Linked DNA regions of Nothobranchius furzeri. Each later gene encodes a partner of the first gene's protein in a complex. Links are inferred from orthologs where the notes say so. Each region holds a gene or a part of one and is shown on either strand. Other genes may lie near its edges. The genes, in order: rab3gap2 and rab3gap1.

Region 1 (3,809 bases):
GAAGCATTTTTGTTTCAACTGGGATTAAGTCCTGACCAGTAGCTGCTGTGGACTGAGGCCCGCCTGCTCCAGTGTGTCACACACTTTATGGATGGAGCTCTGACCACATAAACAACCCCAGAACACGAAAGTTCCTGCAAAACAAACGACATCATAAGACAGCAAAGTCCGTGTTCACATTAAATAAGGATATAAATATGCAAATGTTAGCTTACCTAGCTGGTTCCATTCTGCATCGGACCTGCGGACCACCTTAACCTCGCCTCCCTCTGTACACTCCAGCAGGGACAGGAAAGTGTGGGCAGGTAAAGGTGTGTCGGGAGAGTCCTGAGCAAAGGAAACGCTGGGTTTGGCGTTAAAGTTAGCGTAGCGCCGCAAGGCTGGTTCAGCGCGCGACAACTCCTCCCCCATGCCTTCAAGGGAGTCCCGCTGTGGGAGAAGGGAACGTTACCCGGAGAGCTGGAACTTGGGTTTATGTTTCGTCACCGTTTCATCCACACGCACATTTCCAGAGCAGGCCTCGGTGTTTTCAGCCAGCTGCAGCTGCTGGATGTCTGTGAAGAGCTGAAGAAGTTTCAGCTGTGAGGAGCAGAGCTGCAGCAGCGACGCCTCCACTTCATCAGCAGCTGTGGGACAAAAACACAAAGAAGGGGACTTGACAGTCTGTCCGGTTTTCCCTGATAGCAGAACGTTGGCTTTACCCTGCTGCTTTAAGGTGTCGTGTAAGGCCCTCGTGATGTTGGTGAGACAAGAGACAGGCGTGCCCTCGTTTGACAGCAGAGACTCCAAAGCCTGGGGGAGACGCAGACTGGAGTTAGAGACGCGACGTACGCCTTAACCCAGTTTTAATGTTCTGTTATACCTGTTTCTTAATAACCGGGTGTTTAATTTCCAACAGGACGCTTTTTGCTTCACTCTCCAAAGTTTCTGTAACAGAGAAGACAAAATGAAAAGTGGAATCTTGCACCGTGATTCCTTTAAGCTTTCACGGATCTGTTACCGGGATCCTCGTCGCCGCTCTTCACTAGAGCCGTCAGCCTCTTTAAGAGGTGCATGTCCTTGGCCCGCTCGTTTTTTTTGTCACTGAAACGGAGAAAAGCGGATTTTCATCAACATTTCAGCTCTACTTCTGTTTTGTCCTCAAACGCAGCAGAGAGCTTTCAAACTGGTTTCAGCCATTCCCGAGGCAGAAACTTCACCGCCTACCCGCGGGACCGCTTCTTCTGATCAGGAAGTGGACCCAACCCCGGTTTCACACTGAACGCCTCAGCGGAACGTCACCGTTTCACATAGAGTCCATTATAGTCTATGGACCGTTCCAAACCAGCAGCGATGCGGCGATATCCAGGATCATTCGCTCACAACATCGTTCCAGAAGTGCAGCAGTGTTTTTTCCACGGCTTTGATCCCGGCAGTGGAGAGGATCATCATATCTGGCATCAAACAGCGACATAAAACAACATTTCCTCCTTTTTGGTTTAACGGCGGATTGAATAAACAAACCGCGGCCTGAAGTGTCGAGGGATCGTGCGATCTCGTGAGCACAGCGAGGAAGCCGCTCCGCTGCTTCCAGTGTGAAACCGGGCTAACAGTTTTGTGGCGTGGGTAGGAACACTACTAGGAGATCGCCGCCTGCTTTACGGTAATAGCTGTTTACGGTGCAGGTAGCTAGTATAAAGAGCATCAGGCAGCTTTGTTCGTTTGCCAACCAGCGATAAAAAGCACAAGAAGAAGAAATAGAAGAAGTCTGAGTTTTTTGTTGGTATCACAGCGAAGCCTGGGAGTAAAAGTAGGAGGGTAACGTCTTTGGAAACGAAGTAACGAGCTAAAACCAGAAAGAACATTGAGTTAGCTAAAGGAGGCTACAAAATCATGGACCGATGGTGACCTGGCTTTGTTGCTGCTGGACGTGTAAGTGATAATGTGTACCTTTTACTTCGTGGCTTATTTTGGAATCAGTTGACTCGTGTTAGCGTTAGCTCGCTAGCTACAGCAGGGCTGCTGCTGCAGCTGTAACTCAGCTTTCAACCAGTAGGCGGGAGAAGTGGGCGGACGTATTTAGCGTTGCTTTAAAGCAAAATCACTGGAAATATATCAAAATCTTGTCCCAAAGTCAGAGTCTTGAATTATTTCCAACTCTGGCCCGTACCAACCTGAGAGCCAGGTGGAAGGGAATGTTGATGCTCCTCAGAGCTCCTGTGGTGGGATCCAGCAGACACACCTGCTGCGTGTGGAGCTGCCAGCCCTGACTGGTCACACTGTTCACCCCCATCAGACGGTAGCCGGCAAACAGCAACCTGCAGAAACCACCAAAAGAATCTGATCTCTGACTCTGGTCAAACAGACATGAAGCACTGGCTCCTTCATGCTCACGCTGCATACCTGCACTGCTTGCCCACGGTGAAAGCGCCGACCCGAGGGCCCCGCTGCATGGCCCACACTTCCAGGATTCCTCTGCGAGGAGCGTAGATGATGAGGAACAAAGCGTGACGTCTGGGAAGGGAGGCAGACGGGGAGAACTCCCGATCACCACGCTCCTCCTGAACCTGCAGCCAGCCCAGCTGGGCGTCTCTGTAACCTGTAATTAAAGAAAATCCTTAAAGGTCTCATTCCTGTGATACATGTACCGCCGTCTCCAGAGTTAGCGAACGCCTCGTGAGTCATTGTCTGAGGAAAAAAAAGCTCTGGCGCTTCTGTTTCAAGGGCTAGAAGTTAGCTAGAGGAGTGGGGGTAGCATTAGCATCACCACCACCCAGCAGAACTCCTCCAGGCTTGAGCTGCAGAGCAGAGTCAGTGGTAGAGTCGTGTTGCTGTTAGCCAATCAGAGGAGAGATGTCCAAATGTCAGGAAGTAATGGCGCTTTCGCATCTGGCCCATTCCCGGCCGGTCCTTGTAGCGTTGGTCCCACCGCAAGTGGCCGGGTTTTGTTCACACAGCCTTCTCGGGAACATGGAGAGCTTTGAGCGCGTGGGCGGGGCTAGACACACGGAGAAGACCGCGGCGTCCTCCTCTAGTTAGTACACAGAGGTGGCGTTGTCTGATACGAAGGACGCCGTTTCCTCCTCACGTCCAGCACGCACGTGCAACTCAGAGTTCTCCATTTGATTTTAGGGGTCGAACTCGTTCCTTCGTACCTTTCCACATGCGGATGGCGATGCCCCTGGCCAGGTCCAACAGCGTCACTCGACCAAAGTCATCCGTCACTCCAGCGAGCGTGTTGCAAGGAGACAGACATATGGACTCTCCGTGGCGCCGGGAGTCCGGAAGACCAAATCTGCAAGAAGGAGAACTTCCTGTTAGCGACGTCGCCGGGACTCACCTGTGGAGGAGCGGAGTCAGCCTGAGACGTACCTGATCCCTAAGGGGGTTGCGGGCTCCACTTTGGGTTTCTGTTTCTGAGCAGCTTCCTCTTCGTTCTTATTTCTGTTTTTGCTCCAACCCAACCAGCCACTAAGACAAAAACAGTGAGTGCGACGAGTGAAAGGTAACGGTTACCTGCTACAGAACAGGTTTCGTACCTGGCAGCACTGAAGAGGGCAGAGGTGAGTTTACTGGCCACAGCCAGAGCCACGTGGGACAGGAGAGGCTGGGAGCTGCCCTAGAAACACACCAAACGGCTGAACGTGCTGGCGTTGCCGCGGGTTTGTGCCGAAACTCCAGCGTTTAGGAGCAGAAACACACTGACCTCCACAGCGTAGTAGAAGCCCGTGAACGGTCCGGCTCCCACCGTGACAAACTGGCTCATGGCGGGAGGGCTGCCTTTCACCGTGGCGCTGAAGCCTCCCAGGGTGGAGGCGTTTTTCATTTGG
Region 2 (3,866 bases), on another chromosome or scaffold:
AAGGTGAATATATATGAAGCCAGGTAGCAGTTTCTCTTTAGGATTGAGAGGAGATGCAGGAAGATCATAAACAGAGACAGGACAGAAGCAAGATGCAGAAACTACCGTTGTTAAAAGAGGCGTGGGCGCAGTTTTAATTGTCAAAAACTCCAGCGAGCCAACCCCCCAGCTTCAGGTGTGTGACGTCATCAACGACTAGTCAAAGTTGACTTAAAAAAAAATTAAGTCTTGCAGCCCCTAGCACTGACGTAGTTTCCGTTTGCAACCAAACACCTAGGTATTTAAATGTTTCTACTGGTTTCAGCAGAGATGCATCTAAAATACAAAAATTTAAATCATTTCTGGAGTTACTCGTAGTTTTTCTACAGAACAGCATGGAGTACGATTTTGGTTTATTTAAAATAAGCTTGTTTGTCGATAACCACACTATTAAAATCGTGTTGTAGAACAGTTTCTAGATCTGTAGTTTTTGATTTAGCACAATAAATAATAGCATCTTCAGCATAGAGATGAATGTCCCAGTTTAAGCAGCTCAATAGAAGGTCGTTGATAAAAATAGGAAATAATAAAGGTCCTAGTGACGAACCTTGAGGAATCCCTTTGTCTATGCCTTCATTATCAGCTACTGGCTACCCTTAGAAGACAAAAATTAAACCACAAAAGTGAAGATCTAGAAAGTGATCCGCTAGATGACATGCTTTGGTAAGATCTAGGAAAATGGCACCGGTGAGTTTCAGAAGGGCTGTGGTAGTAGAGAAGTGTTTCCTGAAGCCCGGGCCTCACGTTGAACATGCCTACAATGCACATGAGTTTTATAAACTGTAAACTGGACTGCTTTGTTGCAGGATTTTATTAACCAGCTGGTGGTGATGGAGACCGTCATCACCAGAGCAAGGTCGCTCAAGGACAAGTTTGCTGTTGATAAAGGGGAACCTGGAGAAGCCACAGAAGAGCTGAAGAAGTACGTTTCATACAGTTTTACTTAAAGAGCAAGTCACGCCTAAGTCAACTGTTTTTGCTGGTGAACTGTATAAATGAGTGTCTAACAGTGTAGTAGACACGTCTAGTCACTATGTTTGCATTTTATTTTAAAGCTCAAAATTCAGCCTAAAAAATTCAGTCTGGCGCCATCTTCAGCTCTCAAGCATGCAACAGCAGCTGGAATGTGTCGTTTCCGATGGCTGAAACAGCACAGTCAGCATAGCCGGTACTCTGACCCGTAGCAGCGCTGCGGCTGCAGGTTAGACAAGCACCGGGGTCTCGGCCACGTCTGGTAGCCGCTGAGACTCGGGTTAGCCACAAGTGAGTGTTTATGCTGTAGCTTAGCTATTGTTTAGCATTAGCATTGATTCAGAGTCCCAACAAAGCTTCTAGTATTAAAATGATTTAGTGTTAGAATCTTGGCTGTTAGTTTAGTGGCTTAGCATCCAGGTGTCTTCAGAGAACCGTCTAAGGCACACCTGTACATTATTACTGCGGTCTAGTCAGCCCCCTGACAGGCCACACCTGTGACATATTTACTTAGTTTGTTCAATCTATATTTTCGTAGTTCTGTGTGGTTTTAAGTCTGACTATGTCCTGTCCAATACCAAACTCGTGATCTCTCCAGCTAGGACCAGAAATCACTCGAGACCAGCTCTCCATCTCACGGGTCCGAAACCCTTAAGCCTGCTGAGTATTACCCGGGTCAGGAACTGAGACGCGCCTAGACTCCACCCACATACATAAATGTCTTCCCTGAGCAGCCCATCAGCAGTGAAGGAACCCATACAGACACGCCTTTGTGACTCTGGCTCTCCTGTTACATTGTTTTGACACAAAATCCCGAATGTTTTACCGCCATGGAAATGACCACTCACAAAGGGAATGCCCACAACTACGTGCTGGTGAAGGTTCTCAGTCATCCAGGTCATGGTGATCCGAAGGGTTCAGATGAAGACAACTGGACTTCTCTGGTTTCTTAAAGACGTTTTGCTTCTCATCCGAGGAGCTTTGTCAGTTCTGACTGGAATATGGGAGAGTCCGGCTGTCTGTCGTTCAAGGAGCAGAAACTCCTCCAAGTACCCCGTGTTAAGTCGTGTTGGTTAGATGCAGGAAGGTGTGAGCTGGACTGAAACTGCTTAGGAATGAGATTCAGAGCTGCTTTATATGTTTAAGCGTGTGTGGGTTTGAATCCTCACTTGCATGAGGACGGTGTTTGTTTTGTTTCAGGTTTGTGAGCTCCCTGCTGGAGGAACCAGAGGTGGTGGTGACGGGAGCTGGTCAGGGTCTTACTGGCAGGATTATCCACAGGCTGTTTTTAAATGCTCAGCGGGTAAAGCTGCTACACACACACAAACACACACCACCTTCTTTTTATTTGAGTTGTGTTCTGTCAGATCTGCGATTCACCTCTTTTGCTGATCTCTGGGACCATTACCTCCTGTTCTTCAGGCAGCCCTCTTGGTACCAGGCGATGATGATCTGGAGCCTGAAAGAAAGAAAGCTGGTGAAAGCGGGAAAACATCAGATTTCCCTTCTCCGGCAGGCCGGGAGATCATTCTGCGAACGTATGTTCCTCGACCAGCTCCATACTCCAAAGCTCTGCCTCAGAGGCTCTTCTGTGTGCTGATGAAGGAGGAGTTCAGACTGGCCGGGGCCTTCTCCTCAGACACGTCTTTCTTTTAACACTTTTATTGGTAAATGGTGATTTACACATCAGACTGAAGGCTGATGCAAAACAGCTTAAAATTTAGAAAAACATTCTTTTTTATTGGGGGTCATTTCCCTTCTGTACCTTTCAACAAAACCTTCCATCAGAAGAGATGTGCGTGACTGTATCCTAAACACAGAAAGGCCCAGCAGGTGTGAACAGCCTGTGGAGCCCAGGTTCACCTCAGACTGCTGTCAGAAATAAGTTTGCTGGCTCAGCATACCTCTAGAGGAGGAGGTATTTGATTTTAAGTGTGATTCTCCGTTTCATGGTTAAGACATCAAGTGATGTTATGTGAAACCATTTCACCAAAATGTAAGTCCAGTAATGCTACAGGTCTGAAAAATAAATAAATAAATCTAATGAAATTTCTCTGCTGTTATTTTGCCCATCCCTGTTAGCCAGGTCATGCTAACGTGTGCCTGCTAAGATGACACAGCATGCTTGAAATTCACAAAACAAGCTAATTATGCCTCTGAGTCCATTCTGTCAAGCAGCCACCAGGAGAGGATGTGTGGCTTTTAAAAACACCAGTGAGCCAGTGGAGCTGGTTTCTGGGTCGGATCCAGCTCACAGAAGCCCGCATGAGCTCCAGAACTGGATGACAGGCGTCTCGCTCCCTCTCTAAAGTGCTGAACTACGTTATGTGAATGGATATTAACGTAACACAGGTGCACAAAGGTACGGGTTTAAATTAGCAAATGGGGTGGGGGGTGGGGGGCGTGGGGGGTGGGGGTGGGGGGGAGAGACCAGACTGATAGTAACATTTTTGAGCAAAACTGCAGGAAAAGTGTCAGTGTTTAACCTCATCATCCCCCATGGGTGCAATGCCCAAGGGAGGACCATCTTGAAGGTGGACCTCAAACTGGAAGCCCGTGGAGCTGCTGAAGAACTGGGGTGATGTGAAAAAAGGAAGGGGTTCCAGTGGAAACCTGCTGAATTCTGGACCAGTTGCAGTTTATGAATGAGTTTATTGGGGAGACCCAAAAGAAGTGAACTACAGTAGTCAAGATGGGAAGTGACAAGGCTGTGGCCAAGAATGGCTGCAGCATGAGGAGTCAGGGAGGAGCGAAGACGATTCATGGATCAAAGATGGAACTAGGCTGACAGAGTTATGTTATTGATGTGGGCATGGAAAGACGGTGAACTCTCGAGGATGACACCCAGACTCTTA

Evidence for each region.
Region 2: the proteins of rab3gap2 (region 1) and rab3gap1 are in contact, whole or in part, in a cryo-EM structure (PDB 8VYB), measured with the Homo sapiens proteins. The link is inferred for Nothobranchius furzeri from reciprocal best matches to the Homo sapiens genes RAB3GAP2 and RAB3GAP1. Residues at the interface, in NP_036546.2 of Homo sapiens: Arg197, His198, Pro199, Gly200, Ser276, Pro277, Phe278, Asp279, Met281, Lys282, Ser285, Asn286, Ile287, Gly289, Phe290, Asn291, Ala292, Ile294, Arg377, Phe378, Gly379, Leu380, Pro381, Asp382, Arg385, Cys395, Thr397, Leu398, Arg407, Arg415; in NP_036365.1 of Homo sapiens: Thr19, Ser21, Trp23, Glu24, Glu142, Ser143, Asn146, Leu147, Leu149, Ser150, Ser153, Ile154, Ile169, His170, Trp173, Arg174, Met176, Arg187, Asp189, Glu191, Met192, Val193, His194, Leu195, Arg196, Pro199, Tyr202, Ile211, Ser214, Lys215.

What each region holds. Positions count from the first base shown.
Region 1 is NC_091758.1:43,886,324-43,890,132, reverse strand, and holds part of rab3gap2 (rab3 GTPase-activating protein non-catalytic subunit), read right to left. Parts: coding exon 3,686-3,809; intron 3,599-3,685; coding exon 3,519-3,598; intron 3,451-3,518; coding exon 3,352-3,450; intron 3,275-3,351; coding exon 3,135-3,274; intron 2,579-3,134; coding exon 2,383-2,578; intron 2,298-2,382; coding exon 2,154-2,297; intron 1,084-2,153; coding exon 1,001-1,083; intron 928-1,000; coding exon 863-927; intron 793-862; coding exon 702-792; intron 627-701; coding exon 505-626; intron 430-504; coding exon 216-429; intron 135-215; coding exon 37-134; intron 1-36. UniProt on the Homo sapiens protein: Regulatory subunit of the Rab3 GTPase-activating (Rab3GAP) complex composed of RAB3GAP1 and RAB3GAP2, which has GTPase-activating protein (GAP) activity towards various Rab3 subfamily members (RAB3A, RAB3B, RAB3C and RAB3D), RAB5A and RAB43, and guanine nucleotide exchange factor (GEF) activity towards RAB18.
Region 2 is NC_091756.1:3,939,169-3,943,034, forward strand, and holds the end of rab3gap1 (rab3 GTPase-activating protein catalytic subunit), read left to right. Parts: intron 1-845; coding exon 846-961; intron 962-2,211; coding exon 2,212-2,314; intron 2,315-2,433; coding exon 2,434-2,667; 3' UTR 2,668-3,060; downstream 3,061-3,866. UniProt on the Homo sapiens protein: Catalytic subunit of the Rab3 GTPase-activating (Rab3GAP) complex composed of RAB3GAP1 and RAB3GAP2, which has GTPase-activating protein (GAP) activity towards various Rab3 subfamily members (RAB3A, RAB3B, RAB3C and RAB3D), RAB5A and RAB43, and guanine nucleotide exchange factor (GEF) activity towards RAB18.